7 linked regions of the Macaca fascicularis genome follow. The protein of the gene in region 3 interacts with the protein of the main gene of each other region in a biochemical or structural test. Links are inferred from orthologs where the notes say so. Each region holds a gene or a part of one and is shown on either strand. Other genes may lie near its edges.

Region 1 (3,500 bases), on a different chromosome or scaffold from region 3:
CACTATTTACTACAGGGTTACTGAGAGATAAGTCCAATTCCAGTCTTAGTAGTCTGAAAAGTGAAAATAAACATCATACTTTGGTACTCTTGAAGTTTCAGGTCATACTTATAATCCGCAACCATCGGATCTGTTCTTGTGAATGGAATGTCTTCATAATGTGGAGCAGAAATGCTGGAGAAGTCAACAGTAGTGAAGGGCTTGATGTCAAAGGAGTGGGAGTGGTCGTCCATTACGGAGAGATCCACGGAGCTGATCCCAAAGTTGGTGGGCCAGAATGGCATCTCTGTGTCAACCATGGTAATTTCTGAAAGGAAAAGTAGACTAGCTGTGAAGTTAAGTCCCAGAGAACACAACAATCTCACAGAGTTTCAGAAAGAGAAATGAAAGAGTCTTTGGCAAAGTAATCTCATCTAGGCTCTCACAACAAGAGAAAAGAACATAACCACCTTCTTAGTGCTGTCCAGGCTGTTTTATGATAGAAAGGAAGTCACCCTTTACCCAGGTATCATAATAAGAGAATCCTGAAACAGTGCAGACACATACAGTGTATCCATATAAACGCCTTGCCAACAGTCCTGCTCTCATTATCTTCTACAGAAGGTCATCAATTGAGTCTGTTAATGACTGCTGTTATTTAAAATTTTGTTCAGTTTTACTGAAGTATAATAGACAAAAATTTTTAAACTTAAGGTATACAGGCCAGGCACAGTGGCTCACACCTGTAATCCCAGCACTTTGGGAGGTCAAGGCAGGAGGATCACCTGAGGTCAGGAGTTCCAGACCAGCCTGGCCAACATGGCGAAACCTCATCTCTACTAAAAATACAAAAATTGGCCGGGTGTGGTAGCATGCCTGTAATCCCAGCTACTCGGGAGACTGAGACAGGAGAATCACTTGAACCTGGGAGGCAGAGGTGGCAGTGAGGTGAGATCACACCACTGCACTCCAGCCTAGGAGGCAGAGCAAGACTCCATCTCAAGAAAACCCCAAACCCAACCAAACCAAACCAAAACAAAAAACAAAAAACAACACACACCCACAAAAACTTAAGGTATTCAATGTGATGTTTTAATACATGTATTTACTATGAAATGATTTATCATACTCAAGATCACTTCAGACAGTTACCTTTTTGAGTATGAATATGTACAGTGAGAACACTTAAGATCTACTGTCTTAGCAAATTTCAAATATACCATACAGCATCACCAACTACAGTCACCACGCTGAAGGTGACCTATACTTAGGTCTCCAGCACTTATCCTGCATAACTGAAACTCTGGCTGACATCTCCCCATTGCTCTCGCCCTCCAGCCCCTGGCAAACACCATTTTACTCTCTGCTTTCATGAGTTCGACTTTTTTAGATTCCACGTGTTAAGTGAGATCATGTGGTATTTGTCTTTCTGTGTCAAACACTACCCAGTTTAATTATCTTAGCATAATGTCCTCTAGGTTCATCTCTGTTGTTGCAAATGACAGGATTTCCTTCTTTTTTTAAGGTTGAATAATATTCTACTGTGTGTGTACATATATATCTTTATGTGTATATACGTATGTGTGTGTATATATATTATATATGCATATATATACTGTGTTTTCAAAAATCCATTCATCCATTGACACTTAGGCTGATTTCACATCTTGGCTATTGCAAATAATGCTGTAGTGAACATGGGAGAGCAGACAGCTCTTCAACATCCTGATTCCATTTCACTTGGATATATACCCAGAAGTAGGATTGCTGGATCATATGCTAGTTCTATTTTTAATTTTTTGAGGCAGTCCATTCTGTTTTCCATAATGACTATACCAATTTATGTTCCTGTGAACAGTGTGCAAGGGTTCCCTCTTATCCACATCCTTGCCAACACTTCTTACCGTCTGTGTTTTTGATAACACCCATTCTAATGGGTGTGAGATGATATCTCACTGTTTTTGATTTGCATTTCCCTGATGATTAGTGATGGTGAGTACCTTTTCATATATCTGTTGGCCACTTGTATGTCTTCTTTCTAGAAATGGATATTCAGGTCCTTCATCATTTTTTTAACTGGGTTATTTGTTTTCTTGCTATTGAGTTTGTTGAGTTTCTTATATATTTTGGAATATTAACTCCATATCAGATGTACGATTTGCAATCCATAACTCCATATCAGATGTACAGATTTCCCTATTCTGTAGGCTGACTTTTCACTTTATTGATTATTTCCTTTGCTGTGAAGAAGTTTCTAGTTTGATGCAATCTATTAATGATTGTTTTTAAAGTGTGCACAGGGTTCCAGGACAATTTTACTCTCTTGAAAGTAGAAGCCCAAAATATTTTTCTCTTTAGGATGAAATTTTTCCTATTCTACTTGTATTCATATGCTTTTGTGTAATAGAAAAGTTGGCAAATTAAATATAGGTAAATGAACTTCTTCTTTACTTGCATCCTAAAATAATTTTGTTCTTAATAATACAAAAATAAAAAAATTTTAAGGGGAAAATTACTCAATTATTATTTCTGTACTATAAAATATTACTCAAATAATTATCTTTTCTGTGGATACACCTTTTCTTAAAGAGGAGAAAGTTTTCCCCACATTGAGAATAGAAAGGTTAGAGAGATTTGTGGAAACATTTGATCACACCTGGGAGTGTCAAAATCAGACTCTAGCCCAGCATGGATTTTAAACCACCCCCAAAACAAAAACAAAACAAAACAGAGACAGAAACAAGAAAACACATCAAAGACAAAGGAAAGGCCGGGCGTGGTGGCTCACGCTTGTAATCCCAGCACTTTGGGAGGCCGAGGTGGGTGGATCACGAGGTCAGGAGATCGACACCATGGTGAAACCCAGTCTCTACTAAAAAAAAAAAAAAAAAAAAAAAATTAGCCAGGTGTGGTGGTGGGCGCTTGTAGTCCCAGCTACTCGGAGAGGCTGAGGCAGGAGAATGGCGTGAACCATGAACCTGGGAGACGGAGCTTGCAGTGAGCGGAGATTGCGCCACTGTACTCCAGCCTGGGTGACAGAGCGAGACTCCGTCTCAAAAAAAAAAAAAAACAAAAAAAACAAAGGAAAAATACTTATACAGATTCTAAGGCCATGGAATAGCAAGTTTCATGAATCATCTGCCCAATATCATATATGCCACATGCATTTTTCTAAACATGATTTATTGTCACAGTAAGTGCAACAAAACTCTTTTGGTTCACTTCATGTGAACTTGTGAGCCACCGAGTGTGTAGACTGGAAAACTTTCTGCAATAGGTACCTGGACTCTGTTTACCTGAAACCAGTTCATTATTCAAAGTGGTACCAAAAAGCAGTGATAAGTATTTTAAATGTTAACCCTGTGGTCAAAAACACCAGTAGAGAGCTGTGTAAATTTAGGACTGCTCACACTGGAGACAGAAAGGAGCTGCTCATAAACTCCAGGACTCCTCAAATCACAGGTGTATCTTTCTTGTTTGCAGTCATATCCCCATTGGCTAACAAAGGGCTTGTTTCATAG
Region 2 (4,061 bases), on a different chromosome or scaffold from region 3:
TGGAGGTGGAGGTGGGATGGAGAGCATAAATTACATTTCTGCAGGTGAAATCAGAGCATAGTGAGCCAAAACCCCTTTCTACCTGGGTGGCATGAATGGGTCCAACTGCTACTATCCCCCAGGACGAGGGAGCAAGGCGGGGTGGGCAGGATGGGAGGATGGGGCTGCCTTGAGCCTCCTGCAGGATGACTGGCAACTACTTTCTTAGCGGTCCTTAAGGTCCAATCGCGGTTAAGGCACTAACTAAACTCATTCTTCAGCCTCCTTCTCTAAGTGCTCCTCGAATTGCTCAGTTTAGATGCCCAGAAGTAGGCTCAGGATCCATTCTCTGCGGCAGCACAATGTAGGTCAGATAGCATGAATGCAACAGCTACTTATGAACACAATAGCTACTCTGTTATTGCAAGGTATCCACAACCACCACTACAAAGATTAACACCTTGCTTTACTTGGGGGAAAAAAAAAAAATCATGGTCCTATTCAGCAGTTTCCCCATACAGGGAGAGTTTGCCCCTCCCCCACTCAACAAGGCTGTTCATCCCTAGGAAGTGATTGGAAGTGATTTGAGAGTTTTCCAAGGATTTAGGCTTTCCACTCCTCCAAAGCTTTCACAGTTCTACCTGGCAGAGGTGCGTGGGGGGTAGGGGAGGAAGGGCGCGAAGCTAAACGTCCCCGTGCTGCAATGAGCCTGATATTAGCAGAAACACAAGAGCAGCCTGCAGCCCCATAACCACAGTGCGTCCTTCCCCTTAGAAGTCTGGGGAAAGCAAATCCCTACGCCCAGCCATCATTTCCACTCTTGCGTTTTCAAAAGATCAAAAAACGGAAAGGACCGGCAGGTTGGCAAACCCCAAAGAGGGACCGCCCATCAGGTCGGCGTCCTTGGGATCTCAGCCGCCGACGACCCCAATTCAAATCGATCGTGGGAAACCCCAGGGAAAGAAGGTTCACTTGCAGAGAGACAGGATTACAGGGTGCAGGCTGCAGGGAAGTACCGCGGGGAAGGGGGCCTGGTCGGAAGGACTTTCCAGCCACTTGGCACTCATCAAAAAGTTCCCTGTCCGTGACCCCAGTGGCTCATCGCAGGGAGTTTCTCCGACGAACCCCAGCTCAGGGTTTAGGCTTCTTTTTCCCCCTAGCAAAGGACGAAGCCAGTTCTCTTTTCTGGTCTGACTGGCTTGGAAATTCCCCGCGCCTGACCCCGCCCCAGAGAAATCCCCAGCCAGCGTTTATAGGGCGCCGCGGCGGCGCTGCAGAGCCCACACCAGCCCGTGCCGCCGTCCCGCCCGCCAGCGCCCCAGCGAGGAAGCAGCGCGCAGCCCGCGGCCCAGCGCACCCGCAGCAGCGCCCGCAGCTCGCCCGCGCCATGTTCCAGGCGGCCGAGCGCCCCCAGGAGTGGGCCATGGAGGGTCCCCGCGACGGGCTGAAGAAGGAACGACTGCTGGACGACCGCCACGACAGCGGTCTGGACTCCATGAAGGATGAGGAGTACGAGCAGATGGTCAAGGAGCTGCAGGAGATCCGCCTCGAGCCGCAGGAGGTGCCGCGCGGCGCGGAGCCCTGGAAGCAGCAGCTCACCGAGGACGGGGACTCGTAAGTGGCGCAGACCCGGAGCCGGGGGTCCTCGGGAGGGCCGGATGCGCGCGGCCGGGGAGTGGGAGGCGCCGGGCCTGGAGCCCGAGCTGGGGAACTAGCGATGCAGCCGGGCTGGCGCCGCGGCGCCCCGGGGCTCCTGCACCGCCCCGAACGCTGCAGGGCTGCAGGGCCGCGCGGGGCACCGGCCCGACTCGGAGGGGCGGCGGCTGGGCCCTGGTGGACGGCAGCGTCGCCACACGCCCCCTCCCCCCAGGCCTGTCCTCTAGGCCGGGGGCGGGGCGGCAGCTGGGACGCGAAGTCCCCGGTTGCATAAGGCGGGGCGGGAGTTTCTGGCCGCTGGCGGGCGCCGAGCAGCCGGGAGGGGAAGTACAGGGCGTTCCGAGCTGGCGGGAGGGCGGGGCGGTCTGGCCGGCGCCCGCCGGGGCCGCGGGGGGAGGGGGGCGGAAAGTCCCTGGGCGCCTGCCAGGAACACTCAGCTCATAATAACCTCGCGGAAAACACCGCGGCCTCGGCCTCCAGAAACCCCGGCCTTGCGCAATCCCCCGCAGCCCGCGCCTCCCTGGGCCCCACGCGGTGCACTCACCACCCCTGGGGTTTTTCCCTCTCTTCCCCACAGGTTTCTGCACTTGGCCATCATCCATGAAGAAAAGGCACTGACCATGGAAGTGATCCGCCAGGTGAAGGGAGACCTGGCCTTCCTCAACTTCCAGAACAACCTGCAGCAGGTGCGCCGCTTGCCTGGCCCGGGCTCTCTAACTCTGGGATGGAACTGATGTAGCAAAGTCACCCCAGATCCTTTCTGAATTCAGGGCCACAGGGCATTATTCACCCTCACCTTTTACTTCACGTCAGCCCACATCCTAGAGAGTGAAGGAAATTCCACTGATTTGGTGAGGTCTTTGTGACCCACCTGGAGTCTCTGCTATTTGCCAGTCCTCCCCACCCGCCTGTCTAGGAGGAGCAGCACCCAACCAGGAGACACGGGTTCAGGGGAACTCAGGGTGTGGGTTTGGTCCCTGGCTTACTTTCTCTGGTCTCTCCTGCATTCGTAGACTCCACTCCACTTGGCTGTGATCACCAACCAGCCAGAAATTGCTGAGGCACTTCTGGGAGCTGGCTGTGATCCTGAGCTCCGAGACTTTCGAGGAAATACCCCCCTACACCTTGCCTGTGAGCAGGGCTGCTTGGCCAGCGTGGGAGTCCTGACTCAGTCCTGCACCACCCCGCACCTCCACTCCATCCTGAAGGCTACCAACTACAATGGTATGTCTGCCTCCCTGCCCTGCCCCACCCCCTCAGGTGGCAGGTGATGTGGAGAAGGGGCAGGTGGGCCAACTTAAGGAGTCGAGGCAAGAACTTAAACTGCCAGCATTTGAAAGGTTGAGAAAATATGTGTGCAAAGTGCCTGTTGGATGCCTTTATAAAGTTCTTTCAGAACCCAAACGGTGGGTTCTTAAAATTCAGAAGATATGACTATTTGTCCCATAAAAGAATAGGTGAAAGGAGTGAGGGTTGAAACAGGTGGTTATACTTTTTTCGTTTTGTTCTTCCAGGCCACACGTGTCTGCACTTAGCCTCTATCCATGGCTACCTGGGCATTGTGGAGCTTTTGGTGTCCTTGGGTGCTGATGTCAATGCTCAGGTTAGTGCTTCCTGCCTCCGATGCACTGAGTCAAGTTCCTCGTGCTCATGTTGTGAGCAGAAATTCCAAACGCAGCCATAAGCATCTCAAATTCCTTTTGGTTTCAGGAGCCCTGTAACGGCCGGACTGCCCTTCACCTCGCAGTGGACCTGCAGAATCCTGACCTGGTGTCGCTCCTGTTGAAGTGTGGGGCTGATGTCAACAGAGTTACCTACCAGGGCTATTCTCCCTACCAGCTCACCTGGGGCCGCCCAAGCACCCGGATACAGCAGCAGCTGGGCCAGCTGACACTGGAAAACCTTCAGATGCTGCCGGAGAGTGAGGATGAGGAGAGCTATGACACAGAGTCAGAGTTCACGGAGTTCACGGAGGATGAGGTGAGTCTGTGAACTCCTTGGGCTCTCTAACTAATGAGGGACCATTCCCTTCACCCTCCCGGGCCCCTAGAACTGCTCCTTATCAGAGGGGTATCTACATAATGAGTCTCTCAAATTTCTGTGCATAACCAGTATCCCAATAATGTACCTTTTTTTTTTTTTTTTAAATAGCTTACCCTTTTTTAAAGAAAAGCATTTTTTAAAACATTTTTAAAATGGGAGTTAAAGGCAAACTCCCTCAGCCTGTAAAGTTCATTGTATTTGGGCTATGGAGAATGGAGTCCAAGGGTTATTTCCAGTAGCGGCCTCCCCATCCCAGTGGCTTGGCAGAGCTTCGGAAGTTTAATGTGTCTTCTTTCCCCTTGTTTTCAGCTGCCCTATGACGACTGTGTGTTTGGAGGCCAGCGTCTGACATTATGAGCGCAAAGGGGCTGAAAGAACATGGA
Region 3 (3,999 bases):
GTGTCTCCACCCTCCACTTCCACATGGAGCAGCTCAGTTGTGGCTTGAGGACTCACAGCTCTCGCTTCCCCAGCCCCAGGGTGGGCTTCATGAGTAGCCACAGCCTGTGCCTGGTGCGGTGCAAAGCAGCCTGGTGAACGGCCGTTTTGAGGAGCCACGACCTCCCAGGTGCCCGGGGTCTGAGCGGGGCCAGGAATCAAGCAGGTCTCTGAAGCCCCAGGCCAGTGCTCCAGACACTGAAGGACCATGGCCAACACGATCCTCACAGCCAGGCAAGGCCAGGCCCCAGAGAGGCCAGCCCCAGAGAGGCCAGCCAGGCCTGGGACCCTGCCACAGGTAGCCCTCCTACTGAAGACCGGACAGAGCCACCTAGAGGCCCCCGTCCCAGCACCTAGCTATTGCTGTCTCAGATGTGAGAAGTCGTGAGGGTGCTCCTGTGAGACCTCCCGCCAAGGTCTGGCTGATGCTGCTGTATCCCCTGCCCCAAAGCACTCAGCACCACGGGGTGGTCTCACAGGAAACTGCACCACAGGGCAAGGAGCCACAGGTGCACACCCACCCTGTCCTAGGCAGAAGCCAGGCCCCTCCCCCTGCTCCCCCTCCTACTGGCCTCCTGGAGAAAGTGGCCAATGTGTTACAATGTAATCACAACACAGACGAAGCATTCAAAATCCCGCTGAAAATCGAATTTGCCCTTCCAAATTAACAGATAAGCACTAAGTGAATGGCTAGCAGTTACTAGACCCTTCAGAGCAGGGAACTTATATGAGGCAAAGACAAAAACAACCCTCATCTATCAGAGCCAAGCAAGGCCCAGACACTGCAGCAACCAGGACAGGGCCAAGCACTCCAGGAGTGGCCTGAAGGTCTGCCTTCTGTCCTGCTGGGCACCCGCGACCGGCTGAGCTTTAGCTTCTCGGATCACCACCTTGCTCTGCTGGTTGACAGCACCGACTTCCGAGCAACTTCCTGGCTGAAGGTGAGCAAAGCACTCACCTCTCACAACTCCACCGCACTCATCTCCACAACGGGTGGTCGCCACGACGGCTGGCACAAGAAGCCTGTAAAGGTCCTCCTGCACCCAAACGCAAACTCTCCCAGGCTTGGGGAGGTATTCCCTTCTGCAAGACCCAGGCACCTGCAGTCAGGAGACGCTCACCTGGCCGCACCTGATCTGCCCCAGGCCCCCAGAATGTTTCTGAAGCAAGATCCCAAACCCTGACACATCACACAAGCGCACACCTTCAACCACCCAGTGGTCTAGGGAAGGGACCTCTGAAGGAGCAATCAGGACAAACTCAGGTCCCGTCCTGTCTTCCGCTGCGCAGCTTCTCTACCCAAACGCAATGTTTCTTGTTCTTCAAAAAACATTCGGCGTAGGTCCTATAAAAGGAAACAAACCGAACTCCCCAAAGACAGGCACTTTGCAAACAGAGAAACAAAGCGTAACTTCCAATTATAAAAACGAAACCACTTCATTCTGCGATTCAAGCGTGACTACAGGCCACGATCACAAGCCCAGCTAATCACTCCCTTACCTTCCTCCCACGCACGTTAACTACCAGAGCCAACCACTATTCAACCGGTAAAAACCCATCCCCAAAACAATAAAACTCCCTCCAGCGAGGCGCTCACGTTCAGGGCCCCAGCAAGCGCCAGGGCAGCATCTTCAGAGGCGCAGGAAAACTTAAGACTTGTTTTGGTTTCAAGGCACCGAAAACAAGCCCGCTCGCCGGCCCCCACCCCCGCGAGCCAGCGGTGTTGCAATCCAAGAGTCTCCCCCGCGACCCATCCCCTCCGTCCGCGGGGCGACAGTGACCCCGGAAGCCGCTCCCCGCGCAGAAGGAAGGCGCGGCCTCGCGGGGCCCCGGCTGCAGGTGGCTGCCCCGGCCCCGCGCCAGGAGCACCTCGGGGGCGAAGTGGGGGAGCCCCGGCCCCCAAGGCCTGCGGCGGCCGGGGCGCTCGGGCCGCAGCCCCGCGGCGCCAGCAGCGCGGACCGAACCGGCGCCGAGCGTGGGGCCTCTCGGGCTCCCCGGGAAGCTCGGCCGCGGCGCGGGGCCCGGCTCGGCGGGGCGGGGCGCGGGGCAGCCGGGGGCCCGGGCCCGACAGGAGTAGAGGCCTCGGCCCGACCCCCGCCCCGCGGCCCCGGCCCGGCCCCCGCCCGCGCTCACCTCGGGCGGCCGCGGCCCCGGCGAGCGTCGCGGACAGGTGGAAGACCGAGCGGGGCGGCGGCGGCGGCGCTTCCCTTTGTCTCGGGACTTCCCTCCGGAGCCCGCTCCGCGCGCAGCCCGAGCAGCTCCGAGGACCCTGGCGCGGGCGGGGCGCGCGGGGCGGGGCCTGGTGCAGGGCTGCCCTCTGCACGCCTGCCTCGCGCGCTGCCACCGCCGCCCGGCCCCGAGCACCGCCCGCGCCGCCGCGCGCCCCCCGCTGCCCGTGCCCCGCCGCCGCGCGCCCGCGCCCCGGGTCCGCCCCAGGAGCCCGGCCGGGGGGGTGACTTTTCAGTCAGGCGGCGCCCTGGACACCTACGCCCTTAAAGGAGCCGCGTCCCCGATGTGAGGGAGCGTCTGTAAACTCCCCTTCGGGGTGCCCGCGTCCACCCGAGGACACGCCGGCGAGCAGCGGGGGATAAAGGAGGCCGAGATCTCCAAAAGCTCCCCGGATGCCCGGCGGTCACCTCTCCAGGCACAGGTCTCCGAGGTTTCCTTGGGGTCAGAGCCTGGGGCCGGGGGGCAAAGACCACTGAGGCCTAAGGATTCCCAGAAGCGTCGCAGGACGGTGACGCTCCCGCGAGTTCAGCGCCCTGTGAAACCTCTTGCAATTGGCCATTTCTGGGCGGTGGGCGGAGAGACCTTCTCATCTGCCCAATGAGCCGACCCCGTACAAAAGGCCGAAAGCGAGCATGACCGACGGGAGGAGAAGTGTGGATGCTCCCTAATCCGGGGGCGGGCCCTGGGCGGGGGCGGGGCGTGGGGAGACTACGAGCGGCGGGGGCGGGGCGAGCCCTTGGGGGAGGGGCGCTTCCGGGCAACAGCCCCCCACCCCCCGCCCACGCAACTCCCGAGACCGGTCGAGAGGCCCCCAGCCCCGCGAGCGCGCGGGATACTCCGTTCGCCAACGCGCGGTCGTGCTGGCCCCGGGGCTCTCCCGGTCCCCCCGCCCCCCATTTCGCCGACGGCGGGGCCGCCGCCAAGGTCACGGTGTCCGGGTGCTTGGGGACCGCGGGGACTGACCACATTCATTCATTCCCTCCCTCATTCATTCATTCCCTCCCCCACTCACTCATTCCCTCTCTCCCTCATTCCCTGCCTGACTCATTCATTCAATCCCTCCATCACTCAATCATTCCTTCCCTCCCTCACTCATTCCCACCCTCATTCATTCCCGCCCTCATTCATTCCCGCCCTCATTCCCTTTCGCACTCATTCCCTCCCTTACTGCTTCATTCATTCCTTCTCTCCCTCACTCATTCCCTCCTTCATTAATTCCCACCCTCCCTCATTCCCTCCATCATTCATTCCTTCCCTCCCTCACTCATTTCCTCCCTCATTCATTTGTTCCTTCTCTCCCTTACTCATTCCCTCCCTCACTCATTCATTCCTCCCTCCCTCATTCCCTCCCTCACTCATTCATTCCCTCCCTCACTCATTCCCTCCCTCACTCATTTCCTCCCTCGTTCATTCGTTCCTTCTCTCCCTTACTCATTCCCTCCCTCACTCATTCATTCCCTCCCTCCCTCATTCCCTCCCTCACTCATTCATTCCCTCCCTCACTCATTCATTCCCTCCCTCACTCATTCCCTCCCTCCCTCACTCATTCCCTCCCTCCTTCACTCATTCCCTCCCTCCTTCACTCATTCCCTCCCTCCCTCCCTCATTCCCTCCCTCCCTCATTCCCTCCCTCACTCATTCATTCCCTTCCTCACTCATTCCCTCCCTCACTCATTTCCTCCCTCCTTCACTCATTCCCTCCCTCACTCACTCATTCCCTCCCTCCTTCACT
Region 4 (3,500 bases), on a different chromosome or scaffold from region 3:
GAAATCTCTCACACCATTGAATGATTGTCGGTTTGCTGCCTGGAAGGGTGCCCCATTCTTAGCTTTCTGGCTGGTTGATACTCTGTCATCGACAGACTGAAATCTATGCGATTGGGGTGGTGGCTATAGACATTGCCTAATGCGAAACATTACATCCTTTGATTAAAGGCTGTGGGAAACTTTTGTAAGTTCCTATCTTAATGTACAGTAAACGTTGAGTTGTTTATGTATTAATGCACATTTCTTAGAACTATAATACTGGATATGAATTTAGAGGTTGCCCCAGTTGAAGAAGCTATTGGCCAGAGAGGTTAAGTAACTTGATCACGGTCACATCTCTTTTTAATAGCAAAAAGAATACTTCAATCTTAGTCCTGTACAATAGAGGTACAAACATATCTCTCAGTGTACTACAGCAATACTATTTGCATTTCAAATAGAGCCTTTACATGATTTTGAGATGCCTGAGACTTTTCTCATGGAGTGATTTGGATATGAACAGCAATCACACGTGTCATTTTTGAACAGCTGTTGAAGAAGGCAGAACATGATTATGCCACTTGCTTAATATATTACATCTGGTTGCTGGGAAAATTTAAAAATTCCTTGGTGGTTGGAAGAGAATTTTTTCCCCCCTTTTTGGAGTATTTCATTCAAAAACTCTATTTTAAACTCTGAATTTTGGCTGCTCAGTGGTGGCTTAATTGTACTCCTGTTGAGATACACACTGAGAATGGAGGAAGGATTTTACGTAAAGTGCCCTTTGAAGGCTTTCATAGTCCTGATTCCATGTAATTTCATAATTTGGGAAAGAAAGCAGAGCTGTAGTTATTTTTATGGTGGAATTATTTCATTTTGCCATTCAAACATCTCCATGACCTACTCATGTGAGAAGTTGGGAGCCCTTTGCAATGAAACAGAACCGTAATCAAATAAGGCCCTGGAAGATTTTTCTTTTTTGTTTGTTTGTTCTAGATTGGGAAACATTCAAAATTCTTTATTTACATGGTTCTTCTTCACTAGTATTTCCTGCATACTCAATTCATCTTTTTGTTTGTTTGTTTCACTGAGCTTTAATTATAAGCCATTTTGGGTGGTCATTTGAGCACCTGTATTTTACCTAAAACAGAGACCTCATCTTTGCCTGCAGCCTCATTGCTGTAGGAACTGAACAGAATATTTCATTGGAGAATATCTGCCTTGAGTACTTTTTGAGCAAGTGCCTCTAGTTTTGACAGTAACGCCTCACCTTTTGAAAAGAAATCCCATGTGATTAGGATGCTTCTGTAGGAGTGTGATTTGAAGGAGGCAATAGTAAAACGTACTGTGTTGAAAATTGTTTTCTTAGTTTAAAAAATGTATTATTCAGTCTTTCAAATTATGGTACATTTATTACTTACCCTCACCTGTTACTTTGGCCTACAGTGTATAACATAATGAGCCTCTCAAAGAGTAACTGTTGAGAAATGAAGAGTGAATTTATTTGGCTCTGTGATTATTCAAGTGATTTCATAATAAGCAGGAGTACTATTGTATTTTTTGATGTGGAATACTTGGCAGTACCCTCCCCCTCCCCTGCAGAGGACCCATTGAATTAAAGACACCTCAGAAGTAAAGTCCATTTCTTCTTTTCTCCAGGTGACTTCAGGTGGAACATTCATTGGCATTGGACGGAAAACACCAGATTGCCAAGGAAACACCAAGTATTTCCGCTGTAAATTCTGCAATTTCACTTATATGGGCAACTCGTCCACCGAATTAGAACAACATTTTCTTCAGACTCACCCAAACAAAATAAAAGCTTCTCTCCCCTCCTCTGAGGTTGCAAAACCTTCAGAGAAAAACTCTAACAAGTCCATCCCGGCACTTCGATCCAGTGATTCTGGAGACTTGGGAAAATGGCAGGACAAGATAACAGTCAAAGCAGGAGATGACACTCCTGTTGGGTACTCAGTGCCCATCAAGCCCCTCGATTCCTCGAGACAAAATGGTACAGAGGCCACCAGTTACTACTGGTGTAAATTTTGTAGTTTCAGCTGTGAGTCATCTAGCTCACTTAAACTGCTAGAACATTATGGCAAGCAGCACGGAGCAGTGCAGTCAGGCGGCCTTAATCCAGAGTTGAATGATAAGCTTTCCAGGGGCTCTGTCATTAATCAGAATGATCTAGCCAAAAGTTCAGAAGGAGAGACAATGAGCAAGGCAGACAAGAGCTCGAGTGGGGCTAAAAAGAAGGACTTCTCCAGCAAGGGAGCCGAGGATAATATGGTAACGAGCTATAATTGTCAGTTCTGTGACTTCCGATATTCCAAAAGCCATGGCCCTGATGTAATTGTAGTGGGGCCTCTTCTCCGTCATTATCAACAGCTCCATAACATTCACAAGTGTACCATTAAACACTGTCCATTCTGTCCCAGAGGACTTTGCAGCCCAGAAAAGCACCTTGGAGAAATTACTTATCCGTTTGCTTGTAGAAAAAGTAATTGTTCCCACTGTGCACTCTTGCTTCTGCACTTGTCTCCTGGGGCAGCCGGAAGCTCACGAGTCAAGCATCAGTGCCATCAGTGTTCATTCACCACCCCTGACGTAGATGTACTCCTCTTTCACTATGAGGGTGTGCATGAGTCCCAAGCATCAGATGTCAAACAAGAAGCGAATCACCTGCAAGGATCGGATGGGCAGCAGGCTGTCAAGGAAAGCAAAGAACACTCATGTACCAAATGTGATTTTATTACCCAGGTGGAAGAAGAGATTTCCCGACACTACAGGTGAGTCAAAGGGGGGTAGGTCAGGAGGAATATACAAATAAAATAATAGAAAAAATCCACAGAAAGAGGGCTGAACCAGGAATTGTTGGGAGTGATTCCGATGACTTGGGGAAGTTATAGGAGAAGACCACATAAAAGATCATCACAGATTTGCAGGTGGTATAGTTATAGCTGTGATCACTGTAGACTTTAATTTGGTTCCTTCTTTTGGACTGTATGCTCATGTTTGATACTTGTTTTATACCATTTACTGATTGTCTTTTTAAATTCACAGTGATTCTAATAATGCTGATGAGTTTACTAATTTATCATAGTCCATTTATTTGTCCTTACTAAATATGACTCCACATCCTATATTTCTTTGACAGGGCAACTCCCAAATGAAAGTTACTATTGTAATATATCCTATTCTCTATTCTGAGAAAAAATTTTGAGAACCTGTTGCTCATTTTTATTTTAAAATGAGATTATATATTCTTCTAGCTTTGAACAATTCTGCAGCATCCTTGTTTGGCATATAAACAGTAATCTAAAGGTGAGAATTTTTGTAATATGTGTGATTTTGGATGTAGACTTGCTCCTCCAAGTAGGTAAAACTGCTTGAGTTATTCCAGATTCTTAAATGGATGTGGGATGTTTGTGTTTTCCTTCTGCTTTCACTCTATTCTCTTTATAAACATTAACTTTCCCAGTTAATCTTTTATAATATCTAGAGATAAGTATAGGATATGT
Region 5 (4,221 bases), on a different chromosome or scaffold from region 3:
TTTCTTAAGAGGGTGTCTCTATTGTAAAAGGAGAAGTGAAGAATGAGAACCTGTACTGCAGGTGTTTCCTTAGGAAGACCAATTTTGGGAAAGTTGAGGTTCTGGAAATTAAATCCCTTACATCTCCCAAGTTCCAGTCCTCGCGGAGGTTTTTTATGTTCCCCATTTTGAAAGCTGTAGACTTTGACGACTGGAGAGAAGTGATGTGGGATTGTTCAATGGACGGGTGTTTGCGATTCTATGACTCAGCGTTAGGGATGTAGTAAATTCTGTGAACCTAGTTAAGCGGCAAGATGCCCACCACTTGTGGAAATGGGAATCTTTGCGATTGGGACCTTGTTAATCTTTCTGGTTTCCTCATAAGCTCACCTCTGGACCCAGCCTTGCCTCCACGACTCCCTCCAACCTCCCTAAACTCAACGAGGTGGGTATCAAGTCTGTTTCTTCATCCTTCATTCTTTTTTAACCTCTCCCAGAAGAGGAGGAGGAAACCCAAAGTATTTTATGAGCCTCATTTCGTTTCACAGCAGCCCTTGCAGAGGCTCAAACTCTCCTCCAAGCCCCACCCCATCATCGCCCATCCGCAGACCCTGGGCCTCCACGACAAAGCACGGCCTCACAGTCAGCACCGACGGCCCTTCGAGGACCCCCTCTGGAGGAGAACCATTCAGGTCCCAACCGTCTGGTCATTAGTTCTGTGGTGAAGCTTGAAAAGCAAATCAGCAACAATAGTAATAATAATAACACTTTTGTATGGCGCATTGTGCTTATTTGTACGCATGTGTTATAACGACTGTGGGACGCAGCACCTGGCAGTAGAAGCAGCTGCTGGACAGCGGCAAGGAGCGCGCCGCCCTTGCAGGGGAAGGGGCTGGGTCAGCCGAATAAGCCGTGGAAATGGGAACCTGGGGGACAGGAAAGCAGGGCCAGATAGCTTGCCAATAGCCTAGTTGAAGATAAAGGTTTTACTTCCCTTTTAAGAGACTTCTGCCATTCCCTGAAACCCTACGCAGCTTTGGAAAGCCCAATTCCTAAACCACCCTGTTCGGTTCCCCTGCCCCTCCTTGGAAAGGAGGCTCCGTTCTCCCCACGCGCTACTCGCCGGCGGTTGGACCCCAGGGAGGAAGTTTCTGATTGGCGGAGTCAGAGAAGCACCGGGTGAAAAGAGCTCCTCCGGCTGCGCACCGAAGTTCTGGCGTAGCCAGCGCCGTACGGCAAAATGGCGGCCCCCAGCTGCTTTGGGACGCCCGGGTTCGGGGAGACAAACTCCGACCTGGAAGACCGCGCTGACTATGTGGGCGGCACTGGAGGTGTTCGCGGGGCGGGCCTACGGCCGCTTCCGGCCACAGGAAGCCTTGTTCCGTACGACAATATGGCGGCGCTTAGTTGCATGCAGGCGGAAACTCTGTTGCTTCCGGTCCGTAGTGGGGCCTGCGGTGGGAGTGGGAAGGAAGGCGGAGGGAACCATGCGAGGTTCTGAGATCTGCGGCGAGGGTCGCCTCGAGAGACGGTTTCTGAGGTGGGGGCCGGATGGTGCGGGGATCAGAGGCGGGGGCGGGGATATCGAGGCAGAGGTATTGGGGAGAGCCGGGCTCTGAGTCTGAGGGGAAAACTGTGGTACCTTCCTATCCCTGAAAGGGAGTGGGGCGGCCGGGGGCTGAACTGGGGGAGGGGGATTTGGCGGGAAGCGCATCTACCGGACCGGCCGGACCCAGGGTTGGGATCTAAGAGGAATCGGGAGAGCGTAGCGCGGTGCGGGGGGACTTCTAATTAGTTACAGGTCTCCGAGAGAATGGGGAAAATTAGGGTGGGGTGAAAGGGAGGGGACTTGGGTAAAATATCTTCAACCTAAAGGCCCAGTTTGAGGAGACTCATCTGAGGGTGAAATACGGAGATAATTCAAGGAGGGGAAAAGAGAACGGACTGTTGGGAGGGAACCTCTTTCACCTCAGAGAGTCTAGGAGTTGGGGTGATCAGGATGGGGCGGGTGTGGGGTTGACTTGTTTGAGGGCAGAGGGGGCAAACACATGAGGTGGCGCCCACAGGAGTGTGTTGTCTGTGCCAGGGGGTGTCAGGACGATTTAGGGTGCAGTGTGGGAGAAAGAACCAACTTGCCAACTCTGAGAAAGAGTGGGGAAATGCAACAGAAAGACCGGAAATCGACGTGAGGGGTGGAGCAGAAGGTGGCAACTTAAGGTGTGGGGGGGTTTGCCCCCCCCACACACCACTTGAAGGGCCCGAAAAGCATATAGAACTAATGGTTATTGAAATCAGGTGGTGAAGACAGTGTTGGTCAGGGCTGAAACCCAAGGAGTTCAGAAAATGCGTGAGGTGAAGGGATGGGGCTATGCTGGAGGGGCTCATTCTGAGGCCCCATCCCCTTCCAGCAGGAATTCTGAAATCCCCACCACTTCCTCCTTCCGGGGGATTTGATTCCCCCATGGCCACCGCTAACAGCATCATTGTGCTGGATGATGATGACGAAGATGAAGCAGCTGCTCAGCCAGGGCCCTCCCACCCACTCCCCAGTACAGCCTCACCAGGGGCAGAAGCCCCTAGCTCTTCTGAGCCTCATGGGGCCAGAGGAAGCAGTAGTTCGGGCGGCAAGAAGTGCTACAAGCTGGAGAATGAGAAGCTGTTCCAAGAGGTGAGCTTTAGCGGGGAAGATCGTTGTACCCCAGGGAGGGGGATGGCTGACTGGCTCTCCTGTCCTTTCTTCCCCACTAACCCCACTCCCCTTTCTCTCAACCCCCTCCCTTGTCTCTCTTCCCCTTCCTTCTTCCCCTGAACCTTCTAGTTCCTTGAACTTTGTAAGACGCAGACAGCGGACCACCCTGAGGTGGTCCCATTCCTCTCTAACCGGCAGCAACGTGCCCACTCTCTGTTTTTGGCCTCGGCGGAGTTCTGCAACATCCTCTCTCGGGTCCTATCTCGGGCCCAGAGCCGGCCATCTAAGCTCTATGTCTACATCAATGAGCTCTGCACTGTTCTCAAGGCCCACTCAGCCAAAAAGAAGCTGAACTTGGCCCCTGCTGCCACCACGTCCAATGAGCCCTCTGGGAATAACCCTCCCACACACCTCTCCTTGGACCCCACAAACGCTGAAAACACTGCCTCTCAGGCCCCAAGGACCCGTGGTTCCCGGCGGCAGATCCAGCGCTTGGAGCAGCTGCTGGCGCTCTATGTGGCAGAGATCCGGCGGCTGCAGGAAAAGGAGTTGGATCTCTCAGAATTGGATGACCCAGACTCCACATACCTGCAGGAGGCACGGTTGAAGCGTAAGCTGATCCGCCTCTTTGGGCGACTATGTGAGCTGAAAGACTGCTCTTCACTGACCGGCCGTGTCATAGAGCAGCGCATCACCTACCGTGGCACCCGCTACCCAGAGGTTAACAGGCGCATTGAGCGGCTCATCAACAAGCCAGGGCCTGATACCTTCCCTGACTATGGGGATGTGCTTCGGGCAGTAGAGAAGGCAGCTGCCCGACACAGCCTTGGCCTCCCCCGACAGCAGCTCCAGCTCATGGCTCAGGATGCCTTCCGAGATGTGGGCATCAGGTTACAGGAACGACGTCACCTCGATCTCATCTACAACTTTGGCTGCCACCTCACAGATGACTATAGGCCAGGTAGGGGGTTAGTGGGATGCCTCTCAGTGACCCTTATATGTCAGGTATGAGGCGGATGGGGCATCTCTCTAGTCCTTTCTAGGGTTTGTACTCTTCTAGTCCCTTCCACGGCTGAGTGCTCTGACTTTATATTTTCCCACGTAGGCATTGACCCTGCACTATCAGATCCTGTGTTGGCCCGGCGCCTTCGGGAAAACCGGAGTTTGGCCATGAGTCGGCTGGATGAGGTCATCTCCAAATATGCAATGTTGCAAGACAAAAGTGAGGAGGGCGAGAGAAAAAAGAGAAGAGCTCGGCTCCAAGGCACCTCTTCCCACTCTGAAGACACCCCCGCCTCCTTGGATTCTGGTGAGGTGTGGATGGGGTAAAGCCTTCAGAGAGACATTGTCCTTCCCCTGCACTGGCCACCAGGGAGTCCAGGTTGACTGATGGGGGAGCATGAGAAGGAATGCAAGAACCAAACCCTCTAGGGCAAGGGATTCCTTAGAGAAACTTCTTTGTCCCCCAGGGCCCTAGTGGAATGGCATCCCAGGGGTGCCCTTCTGCCTCCAAAGCTGAGACAGATGACGAAGAAGATGAAGAGAGTGATGAG
Region 6 (3,500 bases), on a different chromosome or scaffold from region 3:
GAGCGAGACTCCGTCTCAAAAAAAAAAAAAAAAAAAAGAAACAGTTCATGGATCTTTTGATACTGATTGAAAAAGCCTTTATTCAACACCTAAAGTGTGTCAGGCACTATGGCTTTGTACTAATATGGTTACTGATTATTATGGTTTTATCCCTTTTAAAATACAGAGAAGCAGATGTTTTGTTTTTGTTTTTGTTTTTTTCCCTCAAAGTTTTAAAACTAATAAATAGCAGAGTTAGCTTTTGAAATTTGGCCTTTCAACTACAGGACTAATGTCATTTTCAACATGTCATAACTGCCTCTTCGGTTCATCCTGCTGTTCTTAAGTGTTCAGCTTCATCTAAACCTCTTTACAAATTGTTGACCAAACCTGGGGGAGAGGCTTCTTTGGTTTACAGAGGATTAGTATAGTGAGCATCTGCTGTTGTTCGTGTTTGATAGAAAATAGCATGTAAAGAGAAAGATTGGGATTAAAGATAGAAACATGCTGACCTGGATAAGTTAGCCAGTATAATTGCTTTAGTAAGTTGAGCTTTGGTGATTGCCCATCATTTCTGCATTGAACAGTGATGACATTTGTAAAAACCACTTATGCTTACACTTACAGAATAATGCCATTCAAAGAATTTTTGCACACATTACTTTTGATTTTGCTTAATATCCATGTGAGTTTTAAGATGAGTTGACAGATTCAGGGAATTTAGTCCACTTTCTCAAGACTGTACAGCAACAAGATGTTGATGCTTATGCTCGGATGGAGTTCTTCCACATTCTGATTTAGTACTTTGCCTCTAGAAAATTTTTTTTCTAGTATATGTTTTTTCTTGATAAAATTTTTGGCCTTTCCTCTCCTGTTTGATTATCATTTTTGCTTTTTCTGAAATTAATAGGAGGAAACACCAATTGGAAGCCTCCACTCAACTGTAAAATTTATAATTACCTGAACAGGATTGGATGCTTCTTCCTTCATCCTCGCTGTAGTAAAAGAAAAGATGCTGCTGATTTTGCCATATGTATGCATGTGAGTCATTGTTTTATTCAAAATCTAATGTGAATCTCACACCCACTTGCATTTTTTTCCCACTTGAATTGTAATGAGAGTTATAGACCATTCTTCAGTACTTCAGGTTCTACCTGTGACTATTATGAAGGCAGGACCCCATAGCATATTTTTATTGCTTTATCCTCAACTTCTAGCAAACCTTCAGCTATCCATGGTAGATACTCAACTATTTGTGGGATAAATGATCAAGAGATGATACTGTTTTTTGGTTTTAAGACAGTGTCGCTCTGTTGCCCAGGCTGGAGTACAGTGGCGCAATCTCAGCTCACTGCAACCTCAGCCCCCTGGGCTCTAACGATTGTTGTGCCTCAGCCTCCCAAGTAGCTGGGACTACAGGAGCATACCACCATGCTCGGCTAATATTTGTATTTTCAGTAGATGGGGTTTCTCCCTGTTAGCCAGGCTAGTCTCAAACTCCTGGCCTGAAGTGATCCGCCCGCCTAGGCCTCCCAAAGTGCTGGGATTACAGGTGTGAGCCACTGCACCCGCTGATGATACTGTATTTGATATATATTAAGACATTTTCATATTTTAGTATCTCTAAAATTAAGAGGTACCTTAACAATCACTGTTGGCCTAGATAGAATTTACATTTGCTTCTGCCTCTGCCAGGTACCTAGAGAAACTGCCAAACTGAGACCCACTTTACATTTTTTGCTTGAGGACTTACATGTCACACTGATAATGTGAATTTACTCGGCAAACTTGTTGACTACAGCTTATGGTTTAAACAACAAAAGATTTCTTTTTCCCTCTATCTAGTGCCAAGATTGAATCATGCAAATTGCCTTGCTTACCTTTTCTCTATGACAGATTTATTTCTTATTTACCCTTACATTGAGTGTATAGCCCATTGGTATTCCAACTTTATGTGAAGTCTGTTGGACTTCCATTTTGGCTTTTTCTTTTTATGGCACATAAAATAGCTTATCATATAATTTAATAGCATCTTATATTTGATTAAATGTGGGGTATTTAATTTATGAAGGAAGTCTTTCTCTCTGTTTCTTTTTTTTTTTTCTTTTTGAGACGGAGTCTCACTCTGTCGCCCAGGCTGGAGGGCAGTGGCGCAATCTCGGCTGCAACTTCTACCTCTCAAGTTCAAACGATTCTCCAGCCTCAGCCTGGAGAATCCAGCTTGGGATTATAAGCACATGCCACCACACTCAGCTAATTTTTGCATTTTGTAATAGAGACCGGGTTTCACCATGTTGGCCAGGCTGGTCTTGAACTCCTGACCTCAAGCGATCCACCTGCCTCAGCCTCTCAAAGTGTTGGGATTACAGGCGTGAGTCACTCACCCAGCCGAAGGAGATCTTTGTGTCATACTTTGGTAGGGATTAGGGAACAAGCTTAATATACCTTCCTAGGTATGTGTTCATTGTGAATAGATATAACTTGTTTTGAAACTCGTGCTGATTTTTTATCAACCTGTGCCATTTGTTCTAACTTAGGCTGGCCGTCTAGATGAACAACTACCCAAGCAAATTCCTTTCACCATCCTCTCAGGAGATCAAGGTTTTCTGGAGCTAGAGAATCAATTTAAGAAGACTCAGAGGCCAGCTCATATACTAAACCCTCACCACTTAGAGGGAGATATGATGTGTGCCTTGTTAAATAGCATATCTGATACCACCAAAGGTACGCAGCTGCAGTCACAGTGCAAACCACCCAAGAGGAGGAGACTTCACTGCTGAGAGAAACCAATAAACTGCTGTCCGCTAGTGAACTGTTGCCTGCTTACTAAACCATCATGTTCTCTTACTTCTATCTTACTTCTCTTTTTTTTTTAAATCTCACTTTCATTCTTTAGTGTTTTAGGAGGAGGATGAATTCATAATAATTTTCTGGAGCCTTTTTTTGATCTAGTAGATAAAATCTCTATTGATGTATATAAAATATATATTCATGCGTTATAGTATGTTACTACAATTTTAAGAGCTCAGAATTCACATCTTCACTTTGTTCCTGAAATTCCAAATTGACCTTCAGTCTTTTAGAAAGCAGTGTGTTTACAGTTGAAAACAGGAAAGCAATAAAAAAGGCGATCATTTAGGAGGTTGACAGTGACAAAATGAAATGCTGTTAGGCTTTTAGGTCCTTAGAGAAGTGGGTACATCCTATCTTATTGCTGGGCCTTGCACTTTCTTCTGTACCTTTGTGAGATTATTCAATGAAAGGAGTGCTGATGTCCATTTTCACTTCCTAGTACATAAGAAAAGATGTAATTCTAAGGATTCAGAAGTTTTGTTTTTCATTTTTCATAATTTCTGCAGTCAAATGTTCTACCACTGAGCTATACCTCTCTTTTTCGTAATCTCTGAAGAAATATGGATAGAATAATTAATGTTTAAATAGGCTAATAATTTAAATTCATGAATAAGGTTTGAAGATATTAATGAATTACCTTAATGAAAAATAGTGGCTTTTTGGCATTT
Region 7 (4,092 bases), on a different chromosome or scaffold from region 3:
TCTCTATGGTTAACACTTTTTATGAGTTTTATTCATCCACTTATTTTTCTTATCCTCTACACCAGAATTGAATATTTTCAAATGCAGCACACTCATGTTACAATCTTTGAAATGAAAAAAAAAAAAAAGCATAGGATTAGAAAAGAAACCAATTTTAATCAACTGTATTTTAAAGTATAGTTCCATATTAAACAACATGATCTAGGCCAGCTGCAGTGGCTCATCCCTGTAATCCCAGCACTTTGGGAGGCCAAGGTAGGAGGATTGCTTGAGGCCAGGGGTTCAAGACCAGCCTGGGCAACATGGAGAGATGCCCCATCTCTTTCTTTATACACACACACAGAGAGAGAGAGAGAGAGAGAAAATATCTGGTAGCAACAGGTCTAGTCATTACCACAATTTTGAGTAGTGATGAGCTTAATAATATTTTGAGTTATCACCAAAATAACTGTAAAGTAACATGAAAACATCTGTGATGACTATTGCCCACAAAGTCACAGGTACTTCTAATACTCCTGGGATTTGTAGTCAAATTCATAATAAAGGAAATGCTAGGTTTCAGTTGGTATTTTGTCCCGACGGTGTATGGATGGCAGGTTGGAATGCCCGTCCAAGCCAGGGGGGTTGACCTAACACTGCAGGGTCCACCTAGGGCCGATCAACTATATTCCCTAGGGGGGCCTGCTATTCCCGGACCCAGCTGCCCTCAGGGGAGAGAGGACACACTTATAAAAAGAGTTTGGGGCTGGCTTGGTAGTTCACTCCTGTGACCCCAGCACTTTAGAAGGCTGAGGCTCGAAGATCACTTATAGCCAGGAGTTTGAGACCAGTCTAGCCAACTTGGCGAGACTCTATCCCTAAAAAAACAATTTTTTTTTTTTATTAGCCAGTTGTGGTGGTGCACGCCTGTAGTCCCAGCTACTTGGGAGGCTGAGGTGGGAGGATCGCTGGGCTCAGGAGTTCCAGACTGCAGTGAGCCATGATCGCGCCGCTGCACTCCAGCGCAGTGAGACTCAGTCTCAAAAATAAAAGGTGGAGGGGTTGGGGGTATAATTAGTTATGAAAACAGGTAAGACTTCCTGGGACAGAACGATCAAAGGGGTGGCGCCGGGTCCTCCAAAGAGCTACTAGCTCAGTCCAAGCCCCGCCTCGGCCCACAGGGTAGCGGGCCGTAGAGCTCCACCCGCAGGAGCCCGGGAAACTCCGCCCCCCGGCCGGCAGGGGGCGCGAGCGCCGCAGGCCCCGCCCCGTGGACGTGGGCTCCGTGGGCGTTTCCGCTGCCAGGCATCAGCAATCTATCGGGGAACCGCGGTGGCCGGTGCGGTGTGCTCGGTGGCGGCTCTGGACGCTCAGGCGCCTGCGGCTGGGTGAGCGCACGCGGGGCGGCTAGGCGGCGAGGCGGCGGCGTGTTTCCAGGTCGTGGCGTCGGGCTCCCGGAGCTTTGGCTGCAGCTAGGGGAGATGGCGGAGTCTTCGGATAAGCTCTACCGAGTCGAGTACGCCAAGAGCGGGCGCGCCTCTTGCAAGAAATGCAGCGAGAGCATCCCCAAGGACTCGCTCCGGATGGCCATCATGGTGCAGGTGCGGGCCGCTGTGCGGGCGGCGGGGCGGGTACGCGGCGCCCCGGGTTAACTGTGTCCGGGAAGGCTCGGGGAGTGCGGGCCCGGGGAGCGAGCGGACCTGGGCTCTCGGAACGGCACTTAGGGCCTGTGGGGCCGTGGCCGCCTCTCCTCCGCCGAGCGGCCCGGCCGACCCTTCCGGAAGGTTTTGCTGATGTTGCAGGAAAAGCCCGGGAAATACAGTCTGCAGCTGGTGCTGCCTTTCGCTTTGTGTAAACGAGAAGCCGCTTCTCTCCTCCTTTCTTGGTGGTGGTGTTTTATTATTGCCGTTCGCCTCAGGGATTGGGGGTGGGGGGGAATTGTACATGGTCTCTTTAAGCTAATCTGATTTTGACCTATCTTGTTCTGGAAGATTTTTGTCCTACGTGGATGGTGGCGACTGGCATGTGGGGATTTTTTTTTTTTAACCTATTTTTGGCCGTCATTTCAACACGTCATTTTAACGCTCACCCTCATTTTTCATTTTAATTAGGCAAAACTATGCAGAGAGGTGTCATTTCTGTACAGTGCATTCACTTTGAGCCTAATCTGTGCTTTAAAATAACATTTTCCCCAAATTTTCCAGGTTCACAGACGCGTTCTCGGTGCACTTGCAGCTGTCTGGTTTGAGTAAGAGTGGCTCCAGGGGGGTTTCTCATGTGGGCTTTTTGATAGATTGAGGATCGATCCCCTTTTGAGATTTCCTGAGGCTTCTGTGAGGTGGTGGGCTTGAAGGCCCCTGTCATTTCCCAGGGGCTCCTGCCTCCAGCTTCCAGTTTGCTGATGTCTGCCTTTGTATGAATAATTCTGGTTCTCACCTGCCCTGTTCCTCCTCGCTTCCAACACATTACCCAAGCTTAGTGCTCATGGTCAAGGTAGCTTGATTTTCCTCCCTACCATGAGCTGTAATGTGTTTTAGGAATGACCAGATAGCCCTCAGTGGATTTTCAGGACTTAAAGAGTACAAGGGAGGGCGACATTTACCGAGTGGATACCCAAGTGCCAGGTGTACTTCCGTTATCTTATTTCACAATATGTCTGTCATCTCGGTGTCCTTGGGGCATACCTAAGTCAGTACGTGGCACACAGTGCTTATTTGGTAGATATTTGTTAAGTTCTAAGCACTCTGTTAGGTTTTAAGGACACAGAATCCACCTTTGGGAATTTCCAGTTTGGTTAAACGGGAATTGACTGGTAAACAAACATTGCCGTACAGAGGGGATGGATGCCACCTGATGGAACTGTGCTCCAGGCATTGTGTGCCTAGGAGTCCAAGATGACCCACCTTAGGGTGGAAGGTTGATTAGGAGTCGTTAATTCACAGAAGTGGAGCAGAAAGATGAGGATAGGGAAGTAGACAGGGCCTACAATTTGAAGAGCCGTGTTTCCCACTAAGGAACCTAGAACTTACCTTAAATATATAAGGCAGCCTGTTCTAATGAAGTTCTCACTCCTGGTGCAGGAGCTCTTAACCCCAGGGTCCGTAGGATGGTAGATAGAATGCAAGAGGTCCATGGGTTTAGATAAGAAAAAATTGATATCTCCATCTCCACTAACCTATAGATAAAATTCATTATTTCCTCTAATCATAAATGTAAGCAGCAAAGCAAAGGCATATTAGCAGTCCCTATGATTTTTTTCACCAGCGGTAATTACAGATATTTTCACTTTACAGTTGGGAGTTTCTCAAAATATAATTTACTCTCATTGCTATAAAAATCACAGTTGTTAGAGGCAGTACTAGATCTTGTTATTTAAAACTTTGAAGCTCACGGGTTACTGTACGCAAATTACCTTTCAAATGTTTTGATAATTATTTGAGTATGTTTCCTTTTTGAACTTTTTTGTTTTGTTTTTTGAGATGGGGTCTCACTATGTTGCCCAGGCTGGTCTCAAACTCCTCAGCTCAAGTGATCCACCCACCTTAGCCCTGTAAAGTGCTAGGATTACAGGCGTGAGCCACCATGACTGACCATTTGCGAGCCTTTTTATTATGCATTTTTAAATGTTATTCCGAGAAAGGGACATCCACGGGCCGTAACAGGTGGGCAGAGTACCGTGTTCTAGTGGAAAGACAGAAAACCCAAGTTCAGGCAGTGTGTTGAGGCTAGAACAACACCGCTGTGGAGGAAGTTAGAGGAGGCTTAGTTAGCTGTTGGGGAGGCAGGATGGAGGAAGCTGAACCTGATCAAGTTTAACATTCTGGGGCCAGGCTCGGTGGCACACGCTTGTAATCTCAGCGCTTTGGGATGCTTGGGTGGGCAGATCACTTAAGCTCAGCGGTTCAAGACCAACCTGGCCAACATGCTGAAACCTCATCTCTACAAAAAAAATGCAGTGATTAGCGGGGCGTGGTGGTTCATGCCTTTATGTCCCAGCTACTCTGGAGGCTGAAGCTGGAAGATTGCTTGAGCCTGGGAGGTGGAGGTTGCAGCGAACCGAGATAATGCCACTGTACTCCAGCCTGGGCGACAGACCCAGACCCTGTCTGAAAA

Evidence for each region.
Region 1: of the proteins of UBE2I (region 3) and PPARG, one has a biochemical effect on the other in vitro, tested with the Homo sapiens proteins (2 studies listed by BioGRID). The link is inferred for Macaca fascicularis from reciprocal best matches to the Homo sapiens genes UBE2I and PPARG.
Region 2: of the proteins of UBE2I (region 3) and NFKBIA, one has a biochemical effect on the other in vitro, tested with the Homo sapiens proteins (2 studies listed by BioGRID). The link is inferred for Macaca fascicularis from reciprocal best matches to the Homo sapiens genes UBE2I and NFKBIA.
Region 4: of the proteins of UBE2I (region 3) and TRPS1, one has a biochemical effect on the other in vitro, tested with the Homo sapiens proteins (2 studies listed by BioGRID). The link is inferred for Macaca fascicularis from reciprocal best matches to the Homo sapiens genes UBE2I and TRPS1.
Region 5: of the proteins of UBE2I (region 3) and DAXX, one has a biochemical effect on the other in vitro, tested with the Homo sapiens proteins (5 studies listed by BioGRID and IntAct, with this or other methods). The link is inferred for Macaca fascicularis from reciprocal best matches to the Homo sapiens genes UBE2I and DAXX.
Region 6: the proteins of UBE2I (region 3) and ZNF451 form a complex in vitro, tested with the Homo sapiens proteins (2 studies listed by BioGRID and IntAct, with this or other methods). The link is inferred for Macaca fascicularis from reciprocal best matches to the Homo sapiens genes UBE2I and ZNF451.
Region 7: of the proteins of UBE2I (region 3) and PARP1, one has a biochemical effect on the other in vitro, tested with the Homo sapiens proteins (4 studies listed by BioGRID, with this or other methods). The link is inferred for Macaca fascicularis from reciprocal best matches to the Homo sapiens genes UBE2I and PARP1.

What each region holds. Positions count from the first base shown.
Region 1 is NC_088376.1:150,655,337-150,658,836, reverse strand, and holds part of PPARG (peroxisome proliferator-activated receptor gamma), read right to left. Parts: intron 2,852-3,500; exon of another isoform or gene 2,768-2,851; intron 308-2,767; coding exon 80-307; intron 1-79. UniProt on the Homo sapiens protein: Nuclear receptor that binds peroxisome proliferators such as hypolipidemic drugs and fatty acids.
Region 2 is NC_088381.1:103,221,237-103,225,297, reverse strand, and holds the start of NFKBIA (NF-kappa-B inhibitor alpha), read left to right. Parts: upstream 1-1,261; 5' UTR 1,262-1,366; coding exon 1,367-1,593; intron 1,594-2,212; coding exon 2,213-2,321; intron 2,322-2,648; coding exon 2,649-2,859; intron 2,860-3,149; coding exon 3,150-3,238; intron 3,239-3,345; coding exon 3,346-3,615; intron 3,616-3,987; coding exon 3,988-4,035; 3' UTR 4,036-4,061. UniProt on the Homo sapiens protein: Inhibits the activity of dimeric NF-kappa-B/REL complexes by trapping REL (RELA/p65 and NFKB1/p50) dimers in the cytoplasm by masking their nuclear localization signals.
Region 3 is NC_088394.1:2,054,668-2,058,666, reverse strand, and holds the start of UBE2I (SUMO-conjugating enzyme UBC9), read right to left. Parts: upstream 2,801-3,999; 5' UTR 2,527-2,800; intron 2,310-2,526; exon of another isoform or gene 2,172-2,309; intron 1-2,171. UniProt on the Homo sapiens protein: Accepts the ubiquitin-like proteins SUMO1, SUMO2, SUMO3, SUMO4 and SUMO1P1/SUMO5 from the UBLE1A-UBLE1B E1 complex and catalyzes their covalent attachment to other proteins with the help of an E3 ligase such as RANBP2, CBX4 and ZNF451.
Region 4 is NC_088382.1:125,223,009-125,226,508, reverse strand, and holds part of TRPS1 (zinc finger transcription factor Trps1), read left to right. Parts: intron 1-1,638; coding exon 1,639-2,768; intron 2,769-3,500. UniProt on the Homo sapiens protein: Transcriptional repressor. Binds specifically to GATA sequences and represses expression of GATA-regulated genes at selected sites and stages in vertebrate development. Regulates chondrocyte proliferation and differentiation.
Region 5 is NC_088378.1:138,379,486-138,383,706, forward strand, and holds the start of DAXX (death domain-associated protein 6), read left to right. Parts: upstream 1-1,421; 5' UTR 1,422-1,466; coding exon 1,467-1,519; intron 1,520-2,387; exon of another isoform or gene 2,388-2,440; coding exon of another isoform or gene 2,441-2,457; coding exon 2,458-2,647; intron 2,648-2,797; coding exon 2,798-3,629; intron 3,630-3,773; coding exon 3,774-3,982; intron 3,983-4,137; coding exon 4,138-4,221. UniProt on the Homo sapiens protein: Transcription corepressor known to repress transcriptional potential of several sumoylated transcription factors. Down-regulates basal and activated transcription.
Region 6 is NC_088378.1:114,567,704-114,571,203, reverse strand, and holds part of ZNF451 (E3 SUMO-protein ligase ZNF451), read left to right. Parts: intron 1-889; coding exon 890-1,020; intron 1,021-2,516; coding exon 2,517-2,703; intron 2,704-3,500. UniProt on the Homo sapiens protein: E3 SUMO-protein ligase; has a preference for SUMO2 and SUMO3 and facilitates UBE2I/UBC9-mediated sumoylation of target proteins. Plays a role in protein SUMO2 modification in response to stress caused by DNA damage and by proteasome inhibitors (in vitro).
Region 7 is NC_088375.1:84,321,944-84,326,035, reverse strand, and holds the start of PARP1 (poly [ADP-ribose] polymerase 1), read left to right. Parts: upstream 1-1,292; 5' UTR 1,293-1,460; coding exon 1,461-1,580; intron 1,581-4,092. UniProt on the Homo sapiens protein: Poly-ADP-ribosyltransferase that mediates poly-ADP-ribosylation of proteins and plays a key role in DNA repair.